Linked DNA regions of Styela clava. The protein of the gene in region 1 purifies or fractionates together with the protein of each later gene. This does not show direct contact. Links are inferred from orthologs where the notes say so. Each region holds a gene or a part of one and is shown on either strand. Other genes may lie near its edges.

Evidence for each region.
Region 2: the proteins of histone acetyltransferase KAT8-like (region 1) and MSL complex subunit 3-like purify together in Homo sapiens (affinity purification with mass spectrometry; 4 studies listed by BioGRID and IntAct, with this or other methods). This does not show direct contact. The link is inferred for Styela clava from reciprocal best matches to the Homo sapiens genes KAT8 and MSL3.

Annotation. Positions count from the first base shown.
Region 1 is NC_135255.1:8,353,915-8,363,487, reverse strand, and holds histone acetyltransferase KAT8-like, read left to right. Parts: upstream 1-4,921; 5' UTR 4,922-5,060; intron 5,061-6,471; 5' UTR 6,472-6,509; coding exon 6,510-7,600; intron 7,601-8,160; coding exon 8,161-8,422; 3' UTR 8,423-9,291; downstream 9,292-9,573. Other genes in the region: protein cereblon-like, read right to left, coding at 1-457; uncharacterized protein LOC120331723, read right to left, coding at 1,435-2,982; proteasome subunit beta type-1-like, read right to left, coding at 9,528-9,573.
Region 2 is NC_135263.1:16,398,360-16,408,241, forward strand, and holds the start of MSL complex subunit 3-like, read right to left. Parts: upstream 4,472-9,882; 5' UTR 4,251-4,471; coding exon 4,167-4,250; intron 3,834-4,166; coding exon 3,765-3,833; intron 3,577-3,764; coding exon 3,467-3,576; intron 2,535-3,466; coding exon 2,455-2,534; intron 2,101-2,454; coding exon 2,006-2,100; intron 1,640-2,005; coding exon 1,448-1,639; intron 1,031-1,447; coding exon 870-1,030; intron 225-869; coding exon 84-224; intron 1-83. Other genes in the region: uncharacterized protein LOC120341242, read left to right, coding at 7,471-7,514, 7,899-7,998, 9,203-9,376. UniProt on the Homo sapiens protein: Non-catalytic component of the MSL histone acetyltransferase complex, a multiprotein complex that mediates the majority of histone H4 acetylation at 'Lys-16' (H4K16ac), an epigenetic mark that prevents chromatin compaction.

The DNA.
Region 1 (9,573 bases):
GAGAATCAGAATCAATATCTTGAATAATATGATCCATAATAAGTCCGTAAAATTTATCATTTTCTGTGAATGTCATGTGATTAAAATTCACTGGTTGATATTTCCAACCTAAGAAAAAATTACATCTTGAACAAGCAGAAATTCTCCATGAATATCCAGGAAACCAAGTCGCTTCTGTATGTGCGTCTTCATTTGATGTTACAGAGGCTTCAGAAAAAGTTACAACTTCAAATTGAGCACCTTGTGGATTTTCAAATTTTTGTGTAGTTATATGTGGCTTTCCTAAAATTGTTTTGTTCCACCTTTGAAGTGCAAGTTTACTTGGAATGGAAACAAGATCTTCAGCTTGAGCCACAGTTTCACCACATCGTTTGCATATGAACTTGCCAGTTTGGGTACGATGACTTAAGCCAAGTGAAGTCACATACATAATTACAACAAAATAAAAGTTCCACATATTCACAATACAGTGTATCTAGTGTTTCCACTACGACTTAATGCCACAACAGTAAGTTTTACCTGAAATCATACAAAGAATATAGGAAATCTACTAAGTATTTGCAATGTAATTGGCTACGACCAAAATACAATAATTTAATTCATTCATTTGTATGTAAGTTAGACCTTCTGTTATTTATGATTGAGTAAAAAAGCCTCAATAGTATTGCGAAAAGGGACAGGACTGCGAAGAGATTATAGCTTAATCATAAAGACCATTGTGCAAAAAAGTTGCTCTGATGTGGGGAAAATAAAATATAATTTTCTTAACCAAATAATTTGATTTAAATCAGAAATTTTTCCTAGAATTGATCCAAGTGGTTTTCTTCTGGAGCTCCAGCTACATATTTCATTTTGGATAGGCAATGTCAAAGGTCACGTCCCAAACAAATTGGTTCTATATGATAAGGAATACAGGAATAGTTATGTCGGCACATCCCACAGCAGCATTAAATCACCCACCAAAGTTACTTTAGCCTACAATATCATGGCGATCAGAGGTTTAAACATGCATATATTTATGGCAGTTTCAACAAGCATACCTAATGAAATTAGTTATGGGGCTAATAACATGATCTTTAACATCAAAACCAATCTCCACAATCAAATGTGCCACGGTAAACTACACTAAGAACTTGGGTAACCAGAATTGTGGGGTAGCTTAATACAAATTGTAAAAAATTAAAATTGACTGCTTGAGATAAATTTATCAACATGCAAAAGAATTATAGTCAACATTTTAGAAAGCCAAGTGATATATATATTTAATATAGCCAAGTCATATGAGGAATAAGCTCAATATTTAGTGTTCCCATCCTAAGTTAATACAGTGTGGGGACTGGGGAATGTTTCAATTTCATCTGCATTTCTGCATGATTATACTGTTTTCATCTGTGATCACTAAAATGTTTTTCAGATATGAAACAGCAAAACTTTTTAACATTGCAACAGGAAATCTTCCAATTTTCTTGGTAAATTTAAGCAGGTAATATGTTTGGAACAAATGAGGCCTTTGACTTTAATTATATAGCAGCGTATCACCCATCTGGTTAAATCAACCAAGGATGGAACATTTTGAACTAGAATTCCATGCAGAAGATCATCAACATTTGCAACCACCAATGGCAATGAACTATTATGTGAAATCGATAAAAATGGAAAATATCTCAAACAAAGTGATATTTTGGATAGATTTCTCAGATAATGCGGATACCGACTATTTAGGATTAAGCGATCTTGTAAAACTTTATGTCCGCTGATTGAATATGATAAGTTAGGAAATGTTTCACAGTTGAATCGTAATTCCAGTAGTCCTGCATTCAAAAACTCATTTAGGACCACAATATTAACGTCATTAAATCTCATGGGCAAAATAAAATATTTAAAATACAAATGTTCTTCCCTTCTCGCAAGATCCGAAAATAAAGTATCATTTTCAATAAGTATTTTAACAGTACTTGAGAAACTTTCAAAACCATTGTTGTGGCCTAATAAAATATCCCATACGCTTTCACCTGCAATTTTAATATCCGAATGGAAAGTTGAATATCCTTTTCTGAATAAATATAATAAACAATCATTGTGCCTATTAAAAGCACTCAAAATAACTGCAGAAATACAACAATCTTTCGGAGTAATTTTTGCAAGCAATTTAACAACGGGAAAATGTCCTTTTTCAGCTGCTACTGTTAATGGAAAACTTTTTAAGCCCATATGATCAATATACATGCACTTTAATGGATCAGCACCTTTGTTTAACAGCAACCGTACTATATTTTCATTTCCATTTTGCGCAGCTAAATATAAGGGCGTACAATCTGTGATATCAGTTGCATTCACATCCTTAACTTCATTGATCAAAAGTTTCACAATCTCTTCATTTTCAATAGAAACTGCCACATGTAATGGTGTCTTCAAGTCATCTGAATCTTGCACATTTACATCAGCCCCATTTTGTATTAAAAATTTTGTTGCTTGAATATTTTCTTTTTCAACAATTACATGTATTGGATAATCACCACTTCGGGAATCCTTCATGTTAACATGCATTGGGAATTCATCAACTAGAATTTCAATACATTTATTATGCCCATTTTTGCAGGATTCATGGAGAGGATATCCCATTTTGTCAATTCCCAATTCCGATTCTTTGTACAAGCTCATGAGATGTTTAACAACTTCAACATGGCCTTCACTAGAAGCAATAGATAACGGTGTTTCTCCATCAAAAGCAGGTGGGAATACACAATCCAAAATCTCTCTGGTAGATTCGCAATCTGACATTGCCGTTTCCAAAAGTATTTTAACACACTCGATATGACCGCCAAATGCTGCTTCATGCATAGGATACCATCCCCTGTTATCTTTGATCGTGTAATCCAACCCCTTCATCAAAAGTTCATGCAAAACTTGAGAGTTTCCTGCCCTGGATGCTGCTCCAATGCTTGAACAGGCATCTGGGTATGCAGATGCAAACACATCCATATGACTTTATAAAATGATTGCTGCAAAGGTATATGGAACCCTGAATATACATATATGTTGCAGATTTAATCATGTGGTGGTGAAGCCTAAGTGTAAATGAAACTTCTTCATAGTTGATCAAAAAATAATGGAAGGCTGAAATTTAAGAAAACAAATTGAAATTTTTTGATTTTACTGGTATAGCATAAATTTGATACAAAACAAAATTGCAGTATTTAAATAAAAAAGGATGGATTTTTCAGAATAAATCAATCACAAAATTCATACATGCTGAATCATTTACAGATAGAGTTGGGGTATATGCTTGCAGATTTTAATCCAAAAATTATTTTTTTGATTGTTTGTATGAGTGCCCTGTCACTCAATTTTTGCATATATCAATCCCAACCCCCACCTGACTGCGTTATCCGAAAATTATGTTACTACAACGTCACAGTGACATAATAAAGCCCTTCAGACTATATGAACTGTCATCAAAGACGCGCAGACAATCACCCAAAATCGAGCAAGCTATTTCTCGTCACAGTGCCCGCAGTGATTCCAATATGAGAGAAGTAGTAAGTTCTTTATCGTCGGCACAGATGTCATTTCAGGCGATCATATGTATACTTTGGCAAGCTCTATGACATGATTGTGATGGCGTAGTGATGTGATTTTTGGATGGCGAAGTCAGGAAGTCAAAAATCGTTATGCTACGCCCACTAGAAGTACTTGAGGTAGGAAAATACCTGAGACCCTGTTCATTGTTTTGTTCGAGAATATGTGAGACGATACGTCTACATACTGACATAATGCAGTAATGTGTAATGCTGCAATGTGTAAGTTAATGATCTCCTATTCTTATAAAACTGTAATATTACTCTCTTTTCAGCTTTTATAATCTCAGAATCTCTTACTGTTGTACTGTCTTATAAAATTTATGCTTACTGGCAAACTGGATTAGGTAGCCTACCACAATTGTTCAGGTTGGATGAGGTTTGTTTTCTTTCTTCTTCGAACTGTCAAGTCAATGCTCAAGGCTAGTAAATGTGTTTAAAAACTCATTTTAGCTTTTGCTCAGTTCAAACAGTCAAAAATTCTTCGCTTTTATCCAGTTATCTTATTCGTGTAATGTTTTATCTTTGTGAACAAATCCATGGATAGATTCGGTAGATAGTTTATTCGAACACTCCATACTGCCATAATACTATAATATACACAAATTTAAAGTGGAGAATTCTGGAAATTATTTTGATTAAATAACTACCTAGTAACTATATACTATACTGCTATAACTGGTACTGAACTACAGAATTACGGTACCGTACTCAACTCTTTGCGTATTCTTGTCAAGATAATTAAGGTACCGGTAACAGAGGACAAGAGGAAGAACAGAAAGAGTTGTCTGGTTGTAGAGGAAGAACAGCTGCTGTCCACTCCACACTAGTCTAAAATTTGTGATTAGACTACCGGTACTTGATAATAACATTTCCAGATTTCTGTGAGAGTTCCCCTCCTACATTCGTACCGGTACTGAATGGCTCACGCTTTTAAACTGAATGTGCAATAGTGCAAAACGCGATATTGCAAATAGTGCAAAACGATACACTTGTGCTGTACACAGATATACCGGTACCGTATGTAATATTACCGATAATTTAGTAAAAAAAATACCTTGCTCACTAAATGAAATATGGTTGTTTTCTCAACCTTTGACCCTATAAAAATATTTCCTAGACGTCACAATTAATGTTCCCCCGAGAGTGAGAGAGAGAAAGAGCTATTTTTTTTTTTGTTTATTTCTAGAAAAAGGTGCAATCAGTAATAAAGCAACGATGGCTTATTAATAAAAATCTGTACAGTTGCACTGATATTTCTTTCGCTCCAGATTTGTCAATTTATTTTGTGTTTCAATGAACATTTTTTACGTGTATGAACCATCTGCAATTTCGTCAACAAAGTCCAGAAATCAAAGAACGGGTAATTAGTCTTGGCGGGCAAATGTGTCGTTGGCTTAGTTAGCTTATTCTCAGGAGTGGAACTTGGCAGACATTTGGATATTTTCGATATATTCCGTGGAACTTCCTACTTCCCGTATGGTAAGGTTTTTTCATATGTTTTATATATGTCTAACGGAATTAATGTGTTCGTTAATTCGACGAAAAAAATTATTCCTCGCATAAATTTTTGTAGGCTTTATCTCCCGAACTCAGTTACAGTGACGATTTCGTCGATAAAATGAGGGGAAATTTTCTACTTTTAATCAGTGAGTTTTTAAAATTTTAATATTTGTTTCATACGGTATGTGTCTACCAAAAAATACTGTTTATGAATTTGACAGTTAGATGAGAAAAACATATTTCTTGCATTTTGTCCATATTTTTGATAAGTTGGGGGGAAATTCCCTACTTTCGGCACGCTGAATTTTTTTTAAATTTGAATATGTGTTTTATATATGTCTATCAGAGTTACAGTGTTTATAAATTTGATCAGAAAATATTTATCATGTCTTAAACCAGTTTAATAAACTATTTTATTGATATTTTCGATATATTGGAGAAAATTTTTGATTTCCAAACATTAATTCGCTTGACCGGGTGAAAAATGTTTTAATCATACTCTTTTATTATATTTCTCGTCTTTCTTTGTTTTGAAAAAGTGGGATCGCCTCGTTAATCGCAATCATCGTGTAGATCAGCGTTGTCCAACCTTTTGGGCTAAAGGGCCACATTTGGTTTACGAATGATTGGGCGGGCCACTTGCAATGGCAGTTATGTTCTAGTTTGCACCACGCCGACTACGGATCAATGAAAAAACAAACAAAACCCCCAAACTAAACTTATAAGAACAATGAAAATACAAAGATACAGTAAAATCAAAAGTTTTTACCACACATAGATATTTCAATATGAAGTATGGCACTGCTTTTATCTAATATGTTTGTCAATATTCGTTGCGACGGGCGATGTAGCAATGCAGAGAGAATTTTTCTGAATGACTGTCGGAATTTAGTGATCTCACGGATGATATGACATGGTTCATCCGTGAAAAAACTTGCTCGTATAAGTAAGTGCTGTCTAATATTGAGATCATAAAAAACTGCCTCTTCTAGCTTCACAGAAAAAAAACAGATTGAAATATATGACAAACAATAAAAATAAATTCAAACATCTCTCTCCAGCAATAACGCCCACAAAGTGACATAAAAAGGGACGATAGGTGTGTGGTGTTTCTCACGCATTAGAACGACAAGGAATACTTTTGTTATTAGACTTTCAATAATGGCTCAGATTTGTGAAAGACGATGGGATTCAAATATTACCGCGTGGACCACGGGTTGGACGACCCTGGTGTAGATAATCTGTCACAAAACAATTAAATATATTTAAATCTAAAAGTTTTAGGAATGATTGAATTGAAAAATTCATATGTGGGTGGTTTCTCCCTTCTTTCAAACAATTCTTTAATCCTATATATACAGCTATAATTTAATTGCATTCTGTTTTACAGCCTTCAAAAAAAATTTGATTACTAAATAGGTAATAAGTATGAGTGATAATCCTCCACCAACTTCTGTAGAAAACAGTTCTGTGACAGATATAAAATGTGAAGATGCTTCTACTCCATCAATAAATACAAATCCATTAAAAAAACTTCCTGTCAAAGATGACAAAATTAAACTAAATCAGCATTATTATTGCATGCGAAGTGATGATACATGGCACAATGCAGAAGTTCTTCAAACAAGAGTGAATGCATTACATGACGATAGACATGAATATTATGTGCATTATCACGGCTTGAACAGAAGACTAGATGAGTGGGTTGAGTCTTCTCGTATTGATACTGCGAGAGTCGTTCCTGAGAGTGATATTGAAGCTGTAAAAGATGGTGATGCAAAAGATGGGGCTGATAATCGTATGACAAGAAATCAAAAGCGGAAACATGATGAGATTAATCATGTTCAAAAATCCTATGCAGAAATGGATCCGACGACTGCAGCATTAGAGAGGGAGCACGAAGCTATCACCAAAGTGAAGTATATTGACCGAATTCATATGGGGAAATATGAAATTGAAGCGTGGTACTTCTCACCTTATCCTGACGAATATGGAAAGCAACCCAAATTATACATATGTGAATATTGCTTGAAATATATGAAATTTGAAATAACCTACAGACGGCATTTAGGAGAATGTGAATGGCGACAACCTCCCGGCAAAGAAATTTATCGTCGAGGGAATATTTCGGTTTATGAAGCTGATGGAAAAGAACATAAAATATACTGTCAGAATTTATGTTTGCTAGCAAAGTTATTTCTTGATCATAAAACTCTTTACTTTGATGTGGAACCATTTCTTTTCTATATCCTTACAGAGGTTGACCAGTATGGTGCACACGTTGTTGGGTATTTTTCAAAAGAGAAAGAATCTCCTGATGGAAATAATCTTGCTTGCATTTTAATATTGCCACCATTCCAGCGAAAGGGTTATGGAAAATTCTTGATAGCCTTCAGTTACGAATTATCAAAAGCAGAACATCTTATCGGATCTCCAGAAAAGCCGTTATCAGACTTGGGAAAGCTGAGCTACAGGAGTTACTGGTCTTGGGTTTTATTGGAGATTCTGAGAGATTTTAGGTAAGAATGCTGATGCCAGTTGCGAATTGTGTCCTCGTTTCGAATATTATTTTTTTTGTAAAACAAAATTATGATATAGTATGGTTTCTCGCAAAACAGCTTTCAACCCATTAGCTGGATTGTGACATGATACTGTGGGTGTTTAGACAGCCAACAATTGAATTTAGAGTTGCCTCAAAACTGCTTTGAATATGAATCGATATGAAATAAGTGAAAAATCATTGTTGGAGTCTGTGCGATTCAGACACATATAAAAGGATGGAGCCCTATTACAAAGTCATTTAAAAATTATTATGTTTCACAACTATTCCACCCTGTTTTTATGTCACTGTTGCATTTTGTTTTATGTACTTTTTTGTCCTGTATTGGTCGAGTTTGTTAGAAAATTGTTGTAAATATACTTTTATGAGGAATGGCTAGCTAGTTAGTTGTCTATTTATTGAACTGGAGGACAATGGTCTATCATTTATTTGAGTCATCTTATATCAGTTTTTCACCTTTTAAATTCTGCCGACAATTATTTATATTTAGAATGATCATTATGTTATTCATGTTTACAGGGGAACTCTATCAATCAAGGATCTGAGTGAAATGACAAGTATCACACAAGCGGATATCATTTCTGCATTGCAGTCTCTCAACATGGTAAAATATTGGAAAGGACAACATGTTGTCTGTGTCACACCAAAACACATTGAGGAACATATGAAATCACAGCTGATCAAAAGGCCACGAATTCCTGTGGACAAAACATTCATGAGATGGCAGCCTCCAAAGAGAAAGCCAGGTGTGAAAAAGGAAGGTATCCACCACAAAAAATGAAGACTGTCAACTGTTGACAAAACTATATGAACTAATTACAGAATACATGTGAGGCATTCTGACTGAATCTTTTCATATTGCCAATCGCCATTATTTTATTAAACTGCTTTTCACTGTCTTTGTTGTACTCAAATATCTTGTTGAAGATGTTAACACAGGAAGTCTGTTTATTCTGGACTCCGGGGCTCGACACCATGAACTGAAATAAAACACAAGAAACTTTCAATCTATTACTCATCCAACAGGGCAGGAATAATTTCACACAGAGGATACACCTACCGAAGGGGGGTCTGCTTATTTTTGGGCTCCATATAAAACCATAACTATAGCATTGATAGCAGTATAAACTGAAACAAAGCACAAGAATTTTGTTGTATTTTTCATCCATGAAACTTGGATATTACTATATGCAGAGGTCACCTACTTGCATGATAGTCAGGGGATAGATTCTCCAGAGAGATATTAATTGGGTGTAGCTGGCGAGGTGTGAAAAATGATCCTGCAGACATCAGACCAGGTGAAATTCTGTTGTGGGTAAATAGTATTCTTAATTCCCCAAGCAGGCGCTATTTGACATATTTTGGCTCTAAATGTACACGGACGGGCAGTCAAGACTAACCATTGAAATGCATGGAACTGCGCATATTAAACAAAATGCATGCAACACCAAACATTCCTTTGAAACTTCTCTAATGTAATACCCATCATTCATACACTTTTATATTCAAGAATGTAATTTAGTAATAAAAGGTGTGAAAAATGATCCTACAGACCAGGTGAAATTCTGTTGTGGGCTCGGCAAATAGTATTCTTAATTCCCCAAGCAGGCGCTATTTGACATATTTTGGCTCTAAATGTACACGGACGGGCAGTCAAGACTACCATTGAAATGCATGCAACACCAAACATTCCTTTGAAACTTCTCTAATGTAATACCCATCATTCATACACTTTTATATTCAAGAATGTAATTTAGTAATAAAATGCAAAGCATTTTTTCAAACAAGCTTCGAAATGCTCACATTTACTGACAAATGAACTTTTTTGAGCATCTTGCACTGTTAGATAGTGCTAATAATGTCACAGAAAGTCCTGGTAGAAAAACTCAGTCTCTTCTAAGAGGGAATCGTTCTGTCTTCACACCATTGGCA
Region 2 (9,882 bases), on another chromosome or scaffold:
TCAACTGTAAATACAAATGTTATTGAGATATTGTTAACACACAATTTACTCTACTGTATGAAAAATAAAATCCAAGCACTTACTCCATTCCAGGTGTCCTAATAGCAGTGTTCTTAGCTAAATGTTTGAATTGATTTCGTTCAGGTAAATATAACAATGACAGTGGAAGAGCATAATCGAAAAGCAGTTTTAAATCACAACAGACTTCTTCACAAAGATTTAATCTGTCAAAATAAGAGTATAACAAGTTTGACTTCTATTGTACATCAGTATCTTAGAAATATCTATCAATTTGGTTACAAAATGAGAAACAAATGAATTCACATGACCACAAGAGAACTGTTAATACGATAAACCAATGGCACCAAATGAAAAAAATTCGATACCCCCGAAATATGTGTACCAGGTGTGGGTTAGGCCAAAATTTTATTCGGATTCTCCTTATTTTAGTTCCATTACGAGTTCGGGGACTGTCTGTGTTAGCCATGTGAATGGGCATTTAATGAAGAACTTATTAGTAACATGCCAATTTTGAATGAATGATTAAAAAAAAACGGGTTGATAAAATAATTGAAAATTTCAAAGCATGTTGATCATTGAGCTATATAATATTTTGAAAAAATATCCGATACAATTTTAATGAATCTGATACTAGCTGAGGATGTTGAAATAATCTTAGTGTAAAATGATTCAAAATTGACGATTATCAAAAATGAAGTCACTCCGAGCTTTCCAGTAAAACTGGCAGGATTCCGCTTCTTAAATTTTATGAATACATGATGAATTTGATAAAAAATTGATTCAAATTGAAAACTAATTGCGAGGAAAAATTCTAGTTACTATATTATTTGAAGATCCATACTACTTACCTTTTTGCAGGCGGAAGTAAGATTTCTGGACCAACTGGTTGACCCATGGCAGTCGTTGTTACTCTTTGTCTATCTGCGGCATTTAGAGCATGAATTGCAAATCTTTTCACATAATTTTCTAATATTTGAATAACATTGGGTCTTGCTGGGAGATTAATCAGCTGAAATATTGTAAAAAAAAAATGTCAATCATCTTCTTTATTTGCAAATATGTTATATATTTTAAAAGTGGCAAGATGAGCCTGAAATTTTAATATAACTTATTATTATGTAAAAAAATTTCATTTCAAGTTTATGTCACAAAAATGGCACTTTTTCCACGTTTCAAGACTGTCTATAGACAAATAACACCAGACACTGCAATTACAACTTCTAACGGTTTTAGCGTGAACAGATCGTAAATAAATTGTATATAAAGACAAATCCTATTCAGATAATATAAATAAATATTTATCCTCGTCTTTTGCTTTTGAATTTACAGTAAAATAAGGTTGCAAAAGTTATCCATTCAAAATTAAAATAAATGTAAGTAAATGTAAATTTAGGAAAGAATGGAGTGTTGGACTATTTGAAGTTACCATATTTCTTTTCTTCACCAAAGCATTATCTTCTTCTAGTCGTCTTTGTAGAGACAGTGGTATGTCAAGACTGACTAATCTACGTAAATGATGTTCATCTTTATTTGATGGATTATCTTCTTCAACGATATTATCATGATGATGTATGGAAGCAGTTCCAATTGTTGATGTACTGCTCAAACGAGGTCTTTTCTAAAATATAAATTTCAAACAAATGGTTATTTAAAATATTGAGCATGGTCAAGTATGAGCACAAAATAAAGAAAAATATGGCAAACGATGATATTGGAATGAGAATAGGGAACTCGTGAATTGTCTTTCATTCAAATAGTTGAATCTAAAGGACTAAGTTCATTTGAAAAATAAATTTTCGTGGGACCCTGTTAAACAAAAGAGAATAAAGAGTTTTATAATGCCCGACAAACTATAAATTATGAGCCAAAATTTCCCCTATCAGAAATCTTAAACCCTGCTTTACATTCAAACTAATTTATTCACTAGATATGACATAGTTTGAAAAAATATGATTCTCCTGTCAGAATTGGAAATATGCCCTACCTCAGGAGGAAAATCATCATCAGATTCTGATAATTTTTCTCTTGTTCCAGTACTTGTTGTGAAATCAGAATTAAAACTTTCTCCAGAGCTTGAATCTGTATCAATAAATATGTTGGTTATATCACTCCTCTGTTTAAAATATCACGCACAGGATGTATATTGGACACAAAGTGGAAATATGGACTAAATTGTGTTATGTCAACAAAATTAAAAACCGCACACTGTGTGGCGGTTCCCTGATCGGAATGATTTTTTGAGAAAACTTGCTCAAAGCAAGGTCACATACACTCACTCAGAATAAATATAATTTTGAGTGAAGTCAAGGGTGAGCAGTGGAAATGTCAAGAGCTCGTATACATGCTGGCAAATGCATTTTAATACAAGACAAGACTGATACGAGACAGTTTAATAAATTAACACAACATGAAAATAAGATGAAAAAACATTACCCGAGTTGTTTGGTATTTCAGCATCTGGCTTACTAGCAACTCCAGGTAGATGATGTCGTCTTCTGCCTTTCTGAAGTTTCCTGCCGTGTATTGAATAGGAAATATCTTATTTAATAAATATAAGTTATTTCTTGTGGATTGAAATTTGCATTGGGTAAAGCTGACCAGTTGTAACATTGGTCAGGTTCTTAGGACTGACGGTGGTAGCCCACGGTAATCAGTGTTTAGGATATCAATCGTGTGAATTTTATGCCACATTGTTTGCCATCAATCATCTATCTATATCAACAATGCACAACCTGCGGCCGTAAGGCCGCATGCGGCCGTCGTGACAAAATAATGCGGCCGTCCACATACAAAATCCTATGAACAAAAAAAAAGAGTTCAAAATATAGGATTTGGCGGCTATGATGGTGCAAAAAGAATGATGAACAGCTTGTGCAGACGTTTGAAGACGAGGAAAATCTGCTGGACACATGGAAATGCGCAGTTGAAGTGTGCGAAGCAACGTTTTCAAGAATGACGTACCTGAAGAATGACTACCGAACCAGATTGTTAGACATTTTATTATACTTTTGGGGACAAGAAAATGGGAGCGACCGCCCCTCCCCGACTTTCGATTTTTTTCAAAATCGTGCAACCATTATGCAACTTGCTGCAGTATATCTGCTCAAGAATAGGTCCACTGAAAAGAAAAATTCGTTTAAAATGCGAATATTATACTTCCAAGTAGTTCTACATACTTTATAATCGGGCAGACCGCACCTCGCTCGGGTCAAATACGCGGTTATGACATCATAAGAGCAAATAAATAAATAAAAAAATTTGCGGGCCTTCGGCGCGCTCATCAAACACGTTGCGGCCGTATTGAATACAAATAAATGCAAAGTGGCCGCCAAGAGCAAAAAGGTTGTGCACCCCTGATCTATATGAAATCATCTAATTTCAATAAAGCTTGATAATAACCTTGTTCAACATTTTAAAATAATCATTAGCATTACTGTTGACTTACAATTTCTTTATTGCTCTTCTGGCCAACTTTCTCTGAAGTTTTCTATTTTGATCATTATCTTTCAGAACAAATGATTCGTCAGCCCAACGATCCCATGCATGATTCCAACCCTACAACACATTGTTTGGAATTATGGTATACAGCATGCAAATAGCATATTGTACCAGTAGCATACTAAGTAGAAAGACATGAAAACAGGTGTAGTATGAATTTTCCGTGTAGTATCAGTATAGCAGTACTTAATAAGCAAATCACTGTTTGCACAATTTCTGAATCAAAACTAATTGAGGCTTTTTACCTGAAAATGTATTTTATACTCTACAAACTTCTTTCCTTTAATGTCCTTAATTACATCAGCATCCATGATCTAAAAGCATGATTATTACAGTATTAATAAGAGGTCAGAAGACTGACAAAATAGAAATAAAGGGGCCGAATTAAGACAATCACAATAAATTCGCGATCATTTAATTCAATAATAACTTGAATAATATTGAAATAAAAAGCAGATGTTTCAAGTTCAGTTTTATCCCTTCAAAAAAATTACATTTAATGAGTTCGATTATGGACATCTCAGCTTTTGCACTGAAAATAAAACCAACAATAACATGATGGAAATGATGTTGTTTATCTGCTCCCTATTTGCAGCTTTAAGTCTCCCACGAAATTAGACAAATCCTGAATACCGTACCGATCATACCTTGGCATTATACAAAACTCGGGCTTTCGTTTCATCTGGTTCAAAACATAAAACTTTTTCTCCTACGACATGCTTGAACTTCATGTTGCTTGTTCGATATATATAATGTGAACTTCAACTCTAATAACGTTTTGCATACGTGGACGGCACAAACAACAAGGAATTAATTTCAAAATAATTCCTGAACTCAGTTTCTCACTTTCCGACTTTGCTAGTCAGTCAGAAACAAGACAATTTCCTAACGAGAACTACAAAACGCTTTCTTTGCAATTCTGCAGGAAGTTCGCACAAATGTCCCCCAAACACGATTGTGGAATTTAGTTTTGCGAGAACGAAATTTTGCGCGAAGGTAGTTTGTGTACATCAGGGGTCGGCAAACTGCGGCCCGCGAACTAATTTTTTGCGGCCCGCAAACGTCCCGAGAACTTTAAATGCATAATACAAAAATTGATGATAAATTTATCGTTGTCTCCACATGGACTTGTGCGGTAACGAATGCAGCTGTACGGAGTTTTTCTGCAGCGTCAGCTATATATGAGTTTTATGTCATTTACTTGATGTTGGTTGTAATTTTAAATAAGTTTCTTTTGATTTTTAAAATATATGAATGGGAATTTTTTTTCTCTGGAAACGGAAGGAAGTTCGCGTTGAGGGTCGAACATTCCGAAGTTCTTAGACAAAAAATATTTTTCTTTCTTGCTCCGGACTCCATTATCCGGTCACCTACTAAGCGTGATGTTGCTATGGGATTTCAATATGTCAATATTGTTAGCGATTTAGGATAGGATAGGATTTAGGATTTCACTATCACATCAGCGCTTTCGGGCTTTTGCACTGGATCCGGTAATGTCTGAATGTAGTCAATATTGTGTTTATGTATCTTAATACAGATTTGCAGATAAAATGATTTCAGTTATTATTATTAATTGATATATTCACAAGCAAAAATGATTAGCAGTAAAGGAAGCTCTAGCCAAAATTCTGAAAGTCGAATTACAGAATTTAGTTAAGCATTGAATTAACATTTGCAGGACGGCTCCACCCCGCCGCTTTAAAGGTGTTTTTAACCACTGTTAAGGCAAATTTGTGGCATTGTTTGTTCTTTTTGATAATGCAAATAAAATTAAGAAATGTCTATTACGTTATATCCTCTTTTTTTTTAAATTGGGCATGGAATTAATTTATTCCACAGTAAATTCAAGTATTTTCACATGTCACGAATATTGTGCTGAACAAGAGCCTACGCAAGCATCCACTGGTTTCAAACAATTTATTATGAACTACAGATTTTCAAAGGACTAAAATCTTTTCGGCTCGGCATTGCCCACCTAATTAATTCAGTAATTACACCCTGGGTTTAAACACTGGCCGATTACAGAATTATGACTTTCCCCATGAAACCATCCATTTAAAATGAATTATTATCATGTCTAACCTGACTGGAAACTGACCGAGAAGCAGTGGTTAGCCAAGCGTTTTATTGGCTCAACCCTCTTCGGGGACAATATGAATCTTATCCTCAGTTAAATGCCTACCTATAATTTGAATACAAAAATAGTAATTAGTATATATCTTTGTTTCTATGACATGTCACATGTTTGTTTTGAACTAGTCTGTTAATAATGTGTGACTTCAATGTGATATATGATATAAGTGAGATACTGTTTCAACAGATTGGAGTATTTGTGTTTGGTGTAGCGTTCCCTTGGGCGATGTGGGCATGTGACTTGAACCTGTGATATCGGAGTTATTAACTTGAATGTTAAAATTGTTTTTTTCCACTTCTGAAACATCTTGATTTTATTACCTTCTTACCACCCTATAATAGTTTTTATATTTGTTTTGAGGGAGAGGTAATATAATTAGTTGGCAAGATGATATATCGTATAGCAAAACATAGTCTTCTATCCGGGTAATTACCGGTCGAAGTCGGGCACAGCAATTTGTGACTTGTTCTAGATTTGTGTATTTTTATAGGTAGAAAAGCCATATCTGACCAGCGTCGATGTTAATCACCTTTCAACTGCAAAGCATCGGGATGCTTGACAGCAATTCTAATGTATATACTTATCCTCGTGTGATTCGAACTTATGAATCAACTCAAGAGTAAATCCCAAAGCATAGCACGATGTGTCAATCGCCAAGCTTCTGGGCAAAGTTTTTTCGTAATATACATTTCAAAACAAAATTCCCATATTCAACATTTCTTTAACTTTTTATTATTCTAAAAACTCGCATTGACCTACATACAGCCGAACTTTCATCTACAATTATTGTACAAAATTTGTTGAAGGTTTGGCATCTATATCATTTATCAACTATTGAGCAAGATACAAAAATTCTATGTAAATTTGTATACTGTTTTACAGCTTCCACCTTATGCGGACTAAATTGACAAATTCTTAATTTTGAGTGATATCGAAAATTGTGCAAGCAAAATTTTGTACCTTTTGAACTCGAAAATTGTACCAAATAATTGAATAAATGCATAACTTTCTAGTTGCTTTTACCTAAGATCCAAAATGGTTTGCTATGATTACTGACTTTAATTCTAGTAATAATATGTTATGGGTGCGGTGGCCTAATGGTTGAAGCGTAGGTCCTAACAATGTTGGCATCTCATGTTGAAATCTTGGTTTGAATGGCCATGCCTACAATCTCACCCAGCATTTAATAAACTAAGTAGGTAGTGCAAAACTGGAAACATTTTGCCTCCGGAGCCTTCTTTGGAATGAAAAACATATAAAATGCTATATAAAAAATACATGGTTTCAGAATTTTATATTTCACAGTTGTGTTGGGATACACTCACTAGCGTACATTTGAGAGATTATGTAACATCTATATTTACTGTCATTTTATGGTAAACCTGATTTATTGATTTGAAAATTATGCAAAAAATGATAAACATTTGGATAGTTCGGCTATTGCTATGCACCAGTAAATCAATATTATATAAAAAAAATAAATATATATATATTGCAAACTAATTGCATTTATTTTGTTCTCTATCTTGGCATTATTGATATGTTTATATGAAATTGAAGCGATATTTTAAAAATGATAATAATGATATAAAACATCAGATTCTTGCTGATCCACGTTGAAGAATTTTCATAGTTTTTTAATTGCTTTGTCAAAATTAAAATAGTTCATAGCATAAAACATATCAATTTCTTATTATATATGTTTTAGGATATTGCACATGTTCCAGTTAGAAGTGCAATCTACATTTACTATGACATAGCATACTACTTTGTCTTCGTAATTCACTCATCTCTCATCATTATCACTGACCGACAGAATGACAACTTCATCAAGTTTGCAGGAAGCAGTTGCTTACAAACTGTAAGTAACATAAATTCAAATTTATTTAGATCGAAAAGTTGTTTAGTATTAAAATGAATCAGACTCAAAATATACGTATTGTCATTTCAATAAAGTGTTTTTAGGTTTTTTATGTTTACAAATACTCCATATATATTATTAATATTCATATTTGAATTCATATTTTAATATTGATTTTTACAATTCATTTTTAAATTTTAAAACGATTTACCCAGCATCCTTATATATCTCAAATTATCATTATGATGGAATAATATTCTTCTACAACCTTTGATATTAAGCAGCATAATTTCAATAATATAATAATGTTTTTATGATTACCTGGATTCTAATGTTACAATTGTCTTTTTTTGCGTTATATTATTTTATTTTTTAATTATTCAGAAAACATTACATGAATGTGAAAAGAAGAGAAGATGGTTTCGATCTATCATCACCAAATTCTCCAGTGTCAGGAGGATCTTACAATGGTGGACATAAAACGGTAAAGTTTCTACTTTGGTTTATATTTTGTAATGCAAATTTATTATATATTTCTTCAGTGTTCCGTATCTTTGTTTTTAAAAAGTCTGTATTTAAATAGCCACCGATAAAGTATTTGCTTACTGTAAAATATGGAGTAAAATTGCTTGTGTTATAAATATTTTTGTTTTATATGACTTACTGCCTCAACCATCATTATTATTACTGAAATTATCTTTATATCAATCTTACTAAACAATATATATCAAATTCACCACATTTTTTTAATAATTCAAGTTTGGATTAGGATTTCCAATTATTAATCTAATCAGAACAAGCACTTTGCAATATCTGGTTGTCAGTCCATATCAGATTGGTGTATAATTTCAAAATAAATCAAATTTTTCAACATGGTTTACAACAAGCAAAGTTCTTTTATGTTATAGTCATGCTAGATGTCAATATGGCATCCTTTTCGGAAAAATATTTTCAACAACGATCTGAAAAGTCATGTTTGAGTTTCATCTGACCACTTAAAGTGTCATAATTATAATCAGTTTATCACAAAGCAACGTTCTGTTTTCTCGTTATTCGGAAGGATTGGTTTGTTGAATGTCAATATGTGCATAGCACTGTAAACACCAGAATGATTTTCTTATATTTTTAAGCTTACTAGGGTCTGTTGCTCCTAGAAACCATTTATTCATTTAATATCAAATATATGGATTGCTAATAACATGTTATTGATCAAGTATGGTATATGGTGTTAAACCTTTATTTAGTGTGTATAACCTATGATTCATACTTGATTGGTGTTATATGAAATAATATTTCTCCTACCCGTCAATATCAGTAATTACATTGCAATAGCTTTTGTTAATCTGATTTTAGATATATTGAAAATTGGATATGATTTTCCGAAAGCTGATAACTACTTTGCAATTAATTATTCTTTGTCATAATTCATTCTACTCTGAGAAAATTATGATCACTCACACAGTCACATTATTCAATTATTTATATACCATGACATAATATAAGGGAATTTGTTTTGAAGCATCATAATCTTGACCTCCTTTGTAATATAGTCTGTGTCATTCGTTGAATGTGGATTTGTGAGTTAAAATTCGGAACTGTGATTTAATTCAAACTTGGTATACACTGCCCAGACCATGCATTTAATATGCTTATTTGGTCTTCATTTTTTTTTCTTTTTTTCTTTGTAGCATTCAACGGTGAATTATGCGAAACTACAAGACAGAAGCTTAAAACATTATTTCACTCCACAAATGATTCGAACTCAGATTGCAAATTTGGAAGCAATGCCACCTGGTACAAAACGGGAGAAAGACGTGAAACATAATATGCGGAGAACAATGAGAAAAAGAACAACTTTTGAGGTTACAAATTATTTACTTTTCATTTATTTCGTCGAACGTTTTGAAGTACTCCATCGCGCCCAAAGCTTTTTGACACTGACATCATGTTAAAAAACATTTGCTCCTACTCTCGATTTAAAAAAAATATTGGATAGGAAATCTCGCTGTTCGCTGGCGTTTTTTTCATTCCATTTGAATACTCTGAGTCTGGCTTCCAGCTTTTAATAAATGGGAAGTGAATTTACAACTCCCAAACGAAATGGTAGTACCAAACCCCAGACTTCAAATCAGAAGTCTGCGTCAAAACTGTTTACAGATTGAGACAAAAATGTAACTCTTGTAATATGGACTTTCAACATTTATCAAGTTTGGATACATGGAAATACCTGTATCAAGGACCATCTTAAATTCAATACTTATATTATGAATATTTCAGTAGGTGCAGAGGGTATGATATAATCATTCAGCGCTATGCTTTGAACTCGATTTAAATTTATTTAGTATGGCCTTGATAAGCTACAATATCA